Linked DNA regions of Caenorhabditis elegans. The protein of the gene in region 2 purifies or fractionates together with the protein of the main gene of each other region. This does not show direct contact. Each region holds a gene or a part of one and is shown on either strand. Other genes may lie near its edges.

Evidence for each region.
Region 1: the proteins of F35B3.7 (region 2) and Y53F4B.9 fractionate together in Caenorhabditis elegans (co-fractionation; one large-scale study listed by BioGRID). This does not show direct contact.

The regions. Positions count from the first base shown.
Region 1 is NC_003280.10:15,004,379-15,012,316, forward strand, and holds Y53F4B.9 (AAA+ ATPase domain-containing protein), read right to left. Parts: upstream 6,039-7,938; 5' UTR 6,034-6,038; coding exon 5,933-6,033; intron 5,888-5,932; coding exon 5,689-5,887; intron 5,510-5,688; coding exon 5,261-5,509; intron 4,915-5,260; coding exon 4,801-4,914; intron 4,748-4,800; coding exon 3,653-4,747; intron 3,453-3,652; coding exon 2,715-3,452; intron 2,000-2,714; coding exon 1,565-1,999; intron 1,222-1,564; coding exon 646-1,221; 3' UTR 486-645; downstream 1-485. Other genes in the region: Y53F4B.11 (uncharacterized protein), read left to right, coding at 6,414-6,512, 6,576-6,803.
Region 2 is NC_003284.9:17,040,064-17,044,964, reverse strand, and holds the start of F35B3.7 (Leucine-rich repeat-containing protein), read left to right. Parts: upstream 1-1,886; 5' UTR 1,887-2,033; coding exon 2,034-2,074; intron 2,075-3,197; coding exon 3,198-3,266; intron 3,267-3,412; coding exon 3,413-3,616; intron 3,617-3,665; coding exon 3,666-3,777; intron 3,778-4,610; coding exon 4,611-4,797; intron 4,798-4,901. Other genes in the region: C30G4.2 (BTB domain-containing protein), read left to right, coding at 1-341, 390-537, 714-850.

The DNA.
Region 1 (7,938 bases), on a different chromosome or scaffold from region 2:
TGTATGGGTCTCGAAGCGACAATCAAATTTTTGAGAAAAACCGTAGAATTTCGAAAAAACCAGTGATTTTCAATCAGAGTCTGAAAATTATTCCGAAATAATGTTTTAAAAATTCATGAATAGCGAATAGAGTTTCTATTAAATTTTTATAAAGTTTTAAAAATATCGAATTCGGCATAAAAATTCCCAAAAAAACGATGGGAAACGTTTGAATTTACAATATTGCCGGCAAATACCTAACGAGACCCGCGGTTCAGGGGCGGGGCGTTTTCAATTGTCAGTGGAGCGCGCTTGCACCCCCACATATTCACGCTCCGTAAATCCACACAATGTCAGCCCGAAATACGTGCCCACTGGGCCCCAATATGTCTGCGTCTCTTCTGGACCTTATAAGAAGAAAACGTGTGGCTGTGATCGTGGTGAGACCCATTCAGAAAAATAGTGTGTACCTTTAAAGTCGAGTGTCAAATTTTAACGGAATTAAAATTTAAAGCTGCCCCATTTTCATTCACAACGATGTTAATTTTTGCGGTATTGGGGGAATTGAAAATAAAATAAATAAATAAATAAACTATTATACAGAAAAAATAAATTAATGGGAAAAAAATAAATTATTTGACAGAAAAATAATAGAAATGCTTGGCTTCAAAGGCTCATGCTCCATCCGCCAACCACATTTATCAGTTGATCTCCGTCCATCGGGAAGTCCTTCGAGTACTGCTTGAATCGATGCAAGTGTCGCCGTGATCGGACCCGTTTCTGACGTTCGACACGATCCATTGGCACGAGCATCGGGAGCACATCTTGAACCAGGTCTCGCCGCGAAAATCGTCCATTGAGAGCCTCGTAAGCGTTCCGGACACCTTCCGAATATCCAGCCTGAGATTCCGCGAGCTTCTGGCGATCCGTATCCCATAGTTTCTCCACTCCCGGTGAGCGGCTCAGAGCCACTGCTCCGTCTGGGAGAACATCCGCGTACTGCTCGAAGAGCTCCTCCATTCGTTCCTGTGTCTTGGTTAAGCTGCAACGTGGCTTTTCCCAGTGCTCGGAGAATCCGGTTGAAACGAGATGGCGAGTTGTAAGTGGGAATGGGCGGTGTGGAGCCAGCGAGAAAAGATGAGCTTGATGGAGGAGAGCACTCAGATCGTGATTCACGGACTCGGAGAGCTGCTTGATCGTCGCGTCGTCGATAATCACGTTACGGCACGAGTAGACGAGATTCTGAAATTAAAAGAATTTTAATAATTTTTTTAAAATTTAAATTTTTCGCTAAATTTTTTTTCCACCTTTTTGGAAATCAATCTGATAAAAAATATTATAAATTCGAAAAAAATTAATTTTGGAAACCAGTTTTCAGTAGTTAAGCTCAAAATTCCAAAAAAAATCGGGAATTTTTCACCAAAACCGAGGTTTAGAGGAACAATTTCGCTGGAAATGTGTTTTTTTGGAAATTTCTGGAAATTTTTTTAGCGTCTTTTCCGCTTCATTTTAAGCCGAAATTAGTAGAAAATTCGATTTTTGATCATTTTGATCTTAAAAATGTTTCTGAAATTTCTAGAAGTACCTGTACATATTTCTGTACTCTGCATTGATTTCTATTCAAGCAAATCTCCAAATGGGGCCTCCGTAGCTCAACTTGTCCCCATCGTCGTGGCCATTCTTGCTCACAAGTGAACACAACCGGCACGGCAGCTTCATTCACAGCTTCCAGAAGTCCAAGGATCCCATGACGATCGAGAGTCTCAAAGAACACATCGACATGCTCAAAGACCACTAGACTCTGCACAAAATCCTTTGGCGCCAGTTGTGGTGGTGGTGCTGGAGTTTCACGCGGAATTGTCTTGTAAAACGGGATGGTACGAGTCGGATGCGGCTGCTGATCCACACGATGAGAACGGAGAGCCTCCTGAAGGTTTCTCTTGATCTCTGAGCCACTTCTGCCGGTTTCCGGGCCAATTGAGATTATACGCATGTTTTCTTGCTTGGCGAGAGCACGGAACTGCAAAAAATTTTAAATTTTTGGAGAAAACCAGATTTTTTTCTTGCAGAAAATGTTAGAGTTTTCGTTTAAAAAAAGACGATTTTTTAACATTAATTTTCGTTGAAAAAACACAAGAAGTTTACCATTTTTGAGTGCCGTAATTGCCGGAAGTTTTGGAAACCGGCAATTGCAGGAATTGCCGGAAATTTCCAAAACCGGCAATTGCAGAATTTGCCGATTTCCGAAAATTTTCAAAACTGGCAGTTGCAGAAATTGCCGAATTCGCCAAAAATTTCCAAAACCGGCAATTGCCGAATTTGCTGGAAATTTTCAAAACTGGCAATTACAGAAATTGCCGAATTCGCCAAAAATTTCCAAAACCGGCAATTGCCGAATTTGCTGGAAATTTTCAAAACTGGCAATTACAGAAATTGCCGAATTCGCCAAAAATTTCCAAAACCGGCAATTACCGAATTTGCTGGAAATTTTGGAAACCGGCAATTGCAAAAATTGCCGAATTCGTCAAAAATTTCCAAAACCGGCAATTGCCGAATGTTTTCAAAACAGGCAATTGCAGAAATTGCCGAAAATATATAAAACCGGCAATTGCCGAAATTGCCAAAAATTTCCGATTTCTGAGCAACCCTGAATTAGAGCTTTTTTATTCAAAAGTTTCTGATTTTTTTCCAAAAATTCCAATTTTTTCTGAAAATCTCCAAGCTTCATCCCGTACCAAGGCGGTCTTTCCAACTCCAGACGGTCCAATCAACACCAGAGGATTCTCCAGATCATCATCCTGATGCTCCACTTCATAATCCTCATCGGATTCATGATCCTCATCCCGTCGCTTCCTCTTTTTCTTCTTCCCCTGCTGCTCCGCAATCTCTCGCTCCATGGCTTTCCGCACTCGACGCTTCCATCTTCGGAGCCATCCCCGCACCGTTGGCTCTTCTTCGGCTCCTTCTACCAGTGAATCCATCGTCGACGGATATATTGTTGTTGTGCAGCTATTTTGGGGCACTTCCAGCTTTTCCAGCGATGAATCCGGCGGATTTTGAGCCATTGTGAGTTCCCGGCTTCGCTCGTAGGGCTTATGGAGCTCAAGGAGATCCTCCTGAAGCTCAGAGACAATCCCAGTTGAATCTAGAATTTTTGGGTCGAAACTTCTAGATTTGAAGATCTTCCCATCGTCGATTTCTGCGAATTCCTCGAAAATCGCTGGCAAAATTGGGATTTTCTCGAAAAACTGATAGGTTTCAGCGCACAAATCTCCCCAATGCTCTTTTCGACGGACTCCGTTGCTCTTTTTGGAGAAGCTGGAGCTCGGCGGGCCTGAAACTGATCCCATTGGGCTATCCGATAGAGTTGTCACTTTTGGAGTGACTGCAGGCTTCACAGGTTTTGGAGAGAAAATCGAGAAAACTGGGCCGGAGCTGCTGGGCTTTTGGCTTGTTGGTGGAGTTGATTTGGTCTGGAAAATTGGGTTTTTAAGAAAAAGAAGGCTTTTTCGGCTAAAAATTAGGCTTTTTCGAATTTTTTTAATAGAAAACCAGTGTTAGTTTCCAAAAAAAGCTTTCAAAAAAAATCATTTTTCGACGATTTTTTGATTTTCTAGAAATAAATAATTGAATTTTCTTAATTTTTCTCTCAAAAATCTAAAAAATTGTGTACCTCCGCCTTTTTCAGCTCTAGCATCTTCTTATTTCCCACTACTGGAGTTGATTTCGAAAAAATCGTCGCCAATTTCCCATTTTCCGGCGCCTCAGGACTCGAAATAACCACAATTTCTTCCTCGGTTTCCGGCGCTGCGTCGTCAGAAGTGGGCAGGGGCTTCGCAACTCTGAAGTACGCAGAAGATCTACGGATTTTGAGTTTCTTCTTCTCCTCTTTGATCTCTTCCGATGATTTTGCAGGAGGCTCCACGGTTTTTTCCGGAGACTCAGATTTCCGAGATGGCTCGGCATCTTTTTCCAGGGTTTTTGGTTCCACGGATTTTGCAGCCATTGATTTCCGAGCTGTTCGGACCTTAGGCTCCACCTCCTTATCCAGAGATTTCGATTCCAGAGATTTCGATTCCACGGAGTTTCCGGAATATGCAGAGGATCTTCGCGATCTCTTCTTCTCAGCTTCAAGTGGTTTGGAAATAGATTCCACCTCCTTTTCCGCAGATCCAAAGTACGCTGAATATCTGCGATTTTTGCGTTGTTTCTTCTCGGATTCCACCGCCATTTCCACACAGTTGACTTCCACGGAGTCGGCTTCCCCATCCAGAGACACCACAGGTTTCTTGGCAGATCTCGGCGCGAAAAAGCTGTGAATTTCCGATTTAAGAGGTCCTCGTTTCGCCAGGGGCTCCAGATCATAGCCGGGATCGTGGTTTTCTCGTTTTTTCGAGCTGCTTTCCTCGCGTTCGTCTTCCAGCAAATCACACGACTTCACCGGAGGCTCTATGGCATCCGGATTCAGACGAAGCGATCTACGGGATCGCTTGGATTTTTGCTCTGGCTCCTCCAATCTCGGCTTCTCAATTTTCGCTGGCGACTTCAGAGGTGACGCTGCGCCGAGGATGAGAGATTTCCGGCGTGATGATGGTCGCGTTTTCGATTCCACCGATTTCGTGTTCACCGACTCAAGTGCGGTCTCCGTCACAGATTCAGCCGAGTAGGATGCAATTGATGACGTGGATGGTGCAGAGCCTCCTCCTCCGTCGCCGAACACCATTTCCGCGTTGAATTGGAAAACGTCCTCCGATTGCATTTGCTCGAGCTGAAAGAAAAAATTGAAGAAAAAATCAATATTAGACTCCACCCATTTTTTACCTTTGCCTGTGACGTAGGTGTCAATCGGAGTTTTACTGTGCTGAGGCGTTCTCTGTTCGGATTCATCGTGTCCTCCTCATCGTCCGAGTGTGGCATCACCAAATCGTTTGGATTCTGCAAAAAAAAGAGATTGTCCGAGAGGAGTACACGGGGAAAAGTTGCAGATTTTGATGAAAATGTGAAGTTTTTCGGGTGAAAAAGTGTCAAATTAGTGTACTTTTTGTGAAAATAAGCCCATTTTCAGTAATTTCAGACTTATTTTTGGCTTTAAAAATACTAAAAACGCCAAAAACTGGAAAATTCACGGATTTCCGAGAGAAAACTTGGTTTTTTCAACGAAAATCTGGCATTTTTCAGTTAAAAACCGCGCTAAAAACGTGTTTTCTCTTAAAATTTCGGGGACTTTCAGCGATTTTTCGGCAAAAAATCGATTTTTCAGCTTATTCCGCAGCCTACTAACATAATTGGGCCTCGGCGTTATCACTCGAATCGAGCATATCTTGTTGAACTTCAGTTTTCCCGATGTTCCACGCTTTTGCGGCGTTTTCGACATGCTTCTACGATATTTCTGCATCACACGTTGAGCGGCCTGCTGGGTCAGCGATTTTCGTGGCGGGATCATCGCACCGTCAGCTGGACGAACTCGAATCGGCGTTTTGGTGGCGGATTTGAGGCATGGCTTCACGGCGACACGTTCTCCAACGTCGAACTGAAATTAGAATCGTTGAAAAAACGTTGTGAGACCCATTTATCAGTTTTTGAATTTCATGAGCCTTTGAAATACAAAAATCGATCAAAATAATTGATTTTCAGCCAAAATCTTCATTTTTGAGGCACTTTTCCGGCAAAAATCTGGAAATTTTCAGCTTTCGCAGCTCAAATCCTCACCGAATATCGAATCGGCCGCTGACAAGCACGAGTTCTCGGTGGTGGCGGCGGCTGAACCAACGGTAGCGGCGCGATTTTCAGCTGAGCCATTCGTTTCGGCTGTACACGCTTTTGAACGGGGCTCATCACGTCTTCGGAGCCGGAACTAATGAATGAGCTCATGATTTTGATGCCAAGCGAGGAACGACGGCGAGCAGGTCTGGAAATTGAGAGATTTTATCGAGAATTGAGGGTAAAAACCAACCTTTTTGGTTCTTCCGTATGTTCCTTATGCTCTGGAATTGGCTCTGGTGGTGCCGATGTGGATGGAAGTGAGTTTTCATCCAAAGTAGGATTCTCTTCCATTTTTACTGCAAAAAAATCGATAAATGACGGAAATTCAATGATTTTTCATGGGAAAATGTGAGAAATTAAGCGAATAATTCGATTTTTAACATAAAATCTGTGAAAATTGAAGAAAAATCGAGAACAACTGATTTCATGGAATATTCCAAAAACCACGAAAACTGAAAATTTTCCCTCCGAAAAGAAAATGAAAATCAACATTTCGCGCTGTCTCACTAGAGCGCGCTTGCGCGCACCTCTCGTTAAAAACGCGGCAATTCAAATCAGGGTTTTTTTGCGTGAAACCCCAAATGACAGGAAAACGTGTATAAACTTCGAGAATGTTCGATTTTGATTAAACTAGAAAAAAGAACCACAAAAAATCAATCATTTCCTTTATCATGGAAACCGAAATTTGTGAGCAACTCGGCGATCTTCACTTGGACAAGGAAGCCATCTTGCTCCGCGCCGAGCAAATCGAGCAGGACATCAAGGCACGGGTGAGAATTAGAATTGGAGAGCACTTTGCAAGCCGGGAATTTTGAATTGCTCTTTTTTTGCAGAAGTACTCGGTGATTCCACCATTGTCCGACGAGGAGCAGAACCTTCTGGACGCTGAAATCGCTAAGCGAGCTGCTCCGCCGCCGGGTGTCCCGGATGCCGCCGATTTTCCGCTTCACGACATTGTGAAGGAGTTGGGGCTCGATAAGCCGGTCGATGGGACGGATCCCGAGTTTTATGAGGAGCTGAAGGCCAAGGACGCGAATACGGTCTACAAGAACATGAAAGATGTAAGCACACTTTGTTGGGCAGAGTCAAAATACACCAGATTTGACGCGCATTTTTTTTTTGAATTTTTGGATGAAATGCAGTGCCCCAACAATTCTGCCTGAAAATTTGTCTCTGTCATGGGCATTGAACCAGGGATGGGAGGCAATTGTCGTTTTCCGGCAAATTCGGCAAATCGACAAATTGCCGGTTTGCCGGAAATTTTCATTTTCAGAAAATTGCAGATTTGCCGGAAATTTTGAACTCGGGCAATCTGCCGGTTTGCCGATTTGCCGGAATTTTCATTTTAGGAAAATTGCAGATTTGCCGAAAATTTTCATTTTCAGAAAATTTCCGATTTGCTGGAAATTTTAATTTTCGAAACATTGCCGATTTGCCGGAAATTTTGAATTCGGGCAATCTGCCGGTTTGGCGATTTGCCGAAATTTTTCATTTTAGGAAAAAATTCGGACATTTGCCGGGTTGCCGGAAATTTTCATTTTCAGAAAATTGCCCATTTGCTGGAAATTTTCATTTTCAAAAAATTGCCGATTTGCCGGAAATTTTCATTTTAGGAAAAAATTCGGGCATTTGCCGGGTTGCCGGAAATTTTCATTTTCAGAAATTTGCAGATTTGCCGGAAATTTTGAACTCGGGCAATCTGCCGGTTTGCCGATTTGCCGGAATTTTCATTTTAGGAAAAAATTCGGACATTTGCCGGGTTGCCGGAAATTTTCATTTTCAGAAAATTGCAGATTTGCCGGAAATTTTGAACTCGGGCAATCTGCCGGTTTGCCGATTTGCCGGAATTTTCTATTTAGGAAAAAATTCGGACATTTGCCGGGTTGCCGGAAATTTTCATTTTCAGAAAATTGCAGATTTGCCGGAAATTTTGAACTCGGGCAATCTGCCGGTTTGCCGATTTGCCGGAATTTTCATTTTAGGAAAAAATTCGGACATTTGCCGGGTTGCCGGAAATTTTCATTTTCAGAAAATTGCAGATTTGCCGGAAATTTTCATTTTCAGAAAATTGCCGATTTGCTGGAAATTTTAATTTTCGAAAAATTGCCGATTTGCCGGAAATTTTGAATTCGGGCAATCTGCCGGTTTGGCGATTTGCCGGAATTTTTCATTTTAGGAAAAAATTCGGACATTTGC
Region 2 (4,901 bases):
GTATTGAAATCAAATACAATCAATGCCTTCCCCGTGGAACATCTTGCGAGTACTCCACCGAAGTGACTGTCATGAACAGAAAGTTCAATCTCAAACACCATCAGTTTGACAATGATAGGCTTTATCTCCCGACTTTCATGAAATGGGATGATGTTGTGGACTTGACATATGAAGATGAATCAGTAAGATGTTGTGCGAAAGTGGTGGGATTTCGCCATTTAGAGAATGTTGAGCGAAGTTTCGGAGATTGCAGTTATCATGGAACAAGTGACCTGCGGCATGTTACAACTGTCAACTTGACTATTACAGTTGGAAGATACAAGATTTTAGTGAACAAAGATGTAAGATTCACTGAATTATAATTTTTAATGTAAAGTTTGGTTTTTCAGTACCTGATGTCAATGTCAGGATTCTTCCGGACAATTTTAGAGAATGCGGATAAGAACTCCAGGCATGACGATCTCGTGCTAACAGAGTCGAGAGATGAGGCTTTTGTGACTATGATTGATATATGTCATCATAAGTTCTGGTGTAATTGTGAGTTGAAACAGTGAAGATATTTTTCAGCACAGCAAAAATAATTTTTTAGGAAAACTATAATACAAGAAAAAGCAACATAACCTTTTTACGTTATTTTAATCAATTTCGAACTTCAAATTATAGTTTTTCTTTTCAAACCGTTATCTCCATTTTGCCACATGTTCAACTTTCAGACCAACTTAAAGAGGACCTTTTTGAAGTTGCAAAGTTGTACGAGTTTCCATTTGTCATCAACTTCTACAACCAATTTTTCAACTCGGACCGTGCATTTAATGCTGACGACGAGTTGTCTTTAGAAAACACTATGTGATGCAGTTTGACTGTGATTAAAAATTTGGCAACTTTTTAAACTGTATACTCATTTGCTTTGGGATCTCAGCAATAATTTGATATGTATATATTTTTTCTATAAGTCTCTTTATGTTCATGTTTATTTTACAGCAATATCTAGATTTTTTTAAACTCACTTTGAAGATAACTCAGAATAATTTTAATTTATATGGAAAACTTGATCGCGCTAGAATTTATTTCGGCATTTGTCTCAAGCTTCTTGTCCAAGTTTGGCTAAAAATATTAACTTTAGTAAGGTTTGGTTTGGGATGCGTTCAAGTTCTATCCAAGTTTGGCTCACACTTAACAATTGTAAGTTGTGTTTTTTTAAATTCGGGTCAAAGTAAGGCAAGAGTTTTGGATCAAATTTGGATTATACTTTGGCACAACGCAAATTTTGCCAAAGTCCCTTATTATTTGATACTATACAGGCGAATAATTTATTCGTAAATACAAATAAATGTAAAGAGAAAGTCACAAGTTTTTTAAGCTATTCAACTAATCAGTGAACGACAAATTTGTATTTGAATTCTATTAGTTTGAGAAAGTTTTAAACTATTTCAAAGTGGTATGTATGTATACACGTACATTTGTAAATTTCAAATAATATATCACGCAAAGTTTCTAAACAAATACGAATTATTCATCGAAATGTTGAGAAAATAACGATTTGGGAACCAAACCATTAACCCGGTAGTTTGAGGGAATAGATATGAGATGAAAGCTTAGAGCTTGGCACCACCGGACCTACCTCAGCCATTTATTTTCCAAACCACACTCTGAGCAGTCTCCACCCTCAAGTCTGTCTTCATTTTACTCATCACATAAATTGGAAAGTGACTCGAGTTTTTGGAGAGGAAAAGAGAGAAGAAACTTGGATGAGTGGAGGAAAATGAAGCGAAAAAAAAACACGTGTCATCATTGTGCACAGCACAAGGGGAAAGACCAAAGCGAAGATAATGAGATCAAAAGAGAAATGAGAGGTTTTTCCTCCCGGCGGGAGAGGGGAGAAGCCGCAGAAGAGCGGTCCGCCTGGTTACATGAAGAGAGAAAGAGTGAAGAAGACAGCTGTCCGGACTGCTTGACGTAGACTTTTTGACTGGAAGGTGGAGTTTCGGACTGTGCGAGTAGAGATACGCATTGCGTTGTTCCGACTTCCAGCCATGCAGACGCTGCGCAATCCCTTGTCCATTTTTAGAGCGCGGTAAGTTTTGCTCAAAAAATTACACAGGTGTTTGGCAACGTGAAATATTGAAACGTTGTGTTGTTCTAGTATATTCCAACCCCCACTAATTTTAATTACGTTTTTTCGATGAAATAGGTAAGAATTCTACTACTCAATTTTTATATTCATACAACACCTTTTGTATCAACTTACACGGTAATTTCATTGTACTCAAACTTTTTAAAATCAAGTTTCGACCATTGCCTTGATCTGAAAATACTTAGTTACTTACTTAGACAATCCGTTCTTCAGGAATTCGTGGTATTCCTGCGCATCACAGCAAGCCATTCTTTTTGGTCCTTGGCTATAATGGACCAAATTGGTTTTTTCATCAATATTTTGTTAGAAATTGTGTTCATCGCGAAACTTAATGTGTTTCATCAAGTGAATATGAGACAGATAACGTTTTTATTTATTCTCTAAATACAATTGTGTGAGCTTTCTTAGAATTTGAGAAACGGTTTTTTTTCTCAAAGTTTCTATATTTGAGTTATATAATTTTTCTTGACAGTAATTGTCACATAAAACTCAATCGATACAAAAATAGTGTATTAAAATATTCAATATAACTTTTTCCACCAAATTGTTATTTTTTCCACGAGTTGTTTTCTACAAAACTGATATTGAAGAAAAATAGGTTTTCAATATTTACCAATATATCAAGCTTTACAAAATTGTTTGGTCGAATGAAAAATGTACTGTTCACTTTTTCAACTCAATTAGGTTATAATCAAAGCTTTAGTCTGCTGATTTCACTCTGTTTAGCTTCAAATGTAGCCTGATCCTTTCGTACTTTTTTTAAAATGAAACTGAACACTTTTCCGCAAGTACAATGTTATACTGACACATAGCTTTTCAAAAATCACTTTTTCTCGTTCTGTTTCCCTTTTAGTTTTGAGTTCAATGACAAATTCTTCTCATCTTTCGCATTGAACAGATAGCTAGTGTTACTTGTTGATGCTCTCATCTAGTTTACACAACCTCTCCCACATCAGAATGTTATTGGGTATTGAACAAGTTCCAGGAATAGGGGTGGGGAAATATTTTTCGAGAAAAAACACTAATTTCGTACTTCCAAATCATTTTTCAACACAAATTGCAGATCACGAAGTCGGGAACGAAGCACTCCTCAACGAGCTGTCACTCAATCAGAAAAGTCGGACAAATCTCGGTCAGTTGTGTTGTGTTTTTTTTTCTTTCAGCTCATGCGTCATGGGTGTGATATTTTGTTTTTTTTGGAGCATTTCAGTTTTTAAAAATCTAATTTTTTGTTGTTTTTCAGCTTCCCAAGCATCAATAATTATTTATTATTTTCAGAAACAAAAATGAGTCCACCAACGAAAAAAAGAGCATCACAGTGAGCAGTAGTGATGTTAGCAGCAAAACCCAGCTCACAAAGCCCAACAACGAACCAAAATCCAAAGCCACCCCTGACAAAGCCACAACTCAAAAATTGTTCATGAAACGTGACAAGAATGCAACAGAATGTCTGGCAGAGACCAAGATTGAGAGGAAATCAATGTAAGTCACAATGATCCTCAGACGATTGGAGGTCTTTCTCAACTTCCAGATGTCGAGAAAAAACGCACAAGAGCATTGTGCTTCCGCAGCCACGGTTTTACACTTGTGAACGAATTCAGAAGACTGTTAAGCTGCCGGACAAGAGTAAAAGTAGTTCAGCGGTAAGTATTTATGATTTTTTGGGATAGGATAGAAAAAGAATAACAAATATTTAAAAACAAACCCCCCAAGTCAAAAATTTCACTGAGATAAGTTCTGAGAACTTCTTAAAAACTATGCTTTTGAATCCTGGTAATAAAAAAATCACAGGTAATTTTCAAAAATTGAATAAAGAAAACAACCTAATTTTCGTCGGTCTTTTTGACTTTGTAATAGAATCTCTTGAAAATTTGTCAAAGCAATTTTTGTGGTGGTTCCATAATCAATCTCAATATGCAAAGTTTTTAAAATTACGACGGGTGAAGAAATCTACAATTTTCTACCAAGAAATATAATTTTAAACTGTATTCTACTATCTAAACAACTTTAAATACGTAAAAACTGCGCAAAAACCGTATTTCGAGCCATCTATCAAATTCCAACTACCAAAAAAAAAATCACTTAACATATTCCAGATCAACACTTTTCAGTTTAGAGTTCAGAACTGAACATTGATTTTAAACACAGAATTGCAAATTTAAAAAATTCCTCTGCAAAATTTTGTGTTTTTGTCTCTGAACCATGCTCCCAAACAGTACACCCAAGATTATAGAAAAATATTCTAATGATTTGTTTGAAATTGGAATCAAAAGTGCAATCCCACAAATCCCTGTGCACAATCATAATCCCCCACACCAGCGGTTGTCCAGCAGTTGAATCCAGCCGTCTGTTATAAACATGTGTTGTTGACCCAAATTGAGTCATAAATTTTATGACCCTTATTGTTGAACCCAGACACCAAGGAACCCCCCCCCCTCATGTTTCTTGGAATTCGATTCATTTGAATTTTCTTCAGATGAGCATCAAGAAATCAACGCACTGGTGTTACGTTGCCGCGCCAAAGCACATCACTCTACAGCCGGGCCCGTCGAGTGTCGGCGACGGATTTTCGACTGAAGCCATGATCGAGGAGATCTTCGCCCCGCTACGAGACACCATAAAAGAGGGCATCGAAGAGGCACGACATTTATCTTCATCTCCGGGTAGGTATTTCGACTTTTATTACTGTTTTACAACAAATTGATGGCCAGAAGATGTTTTATTTATTACTTACGGGAAAATGTTCGATTTATTGAAATTTATTGCC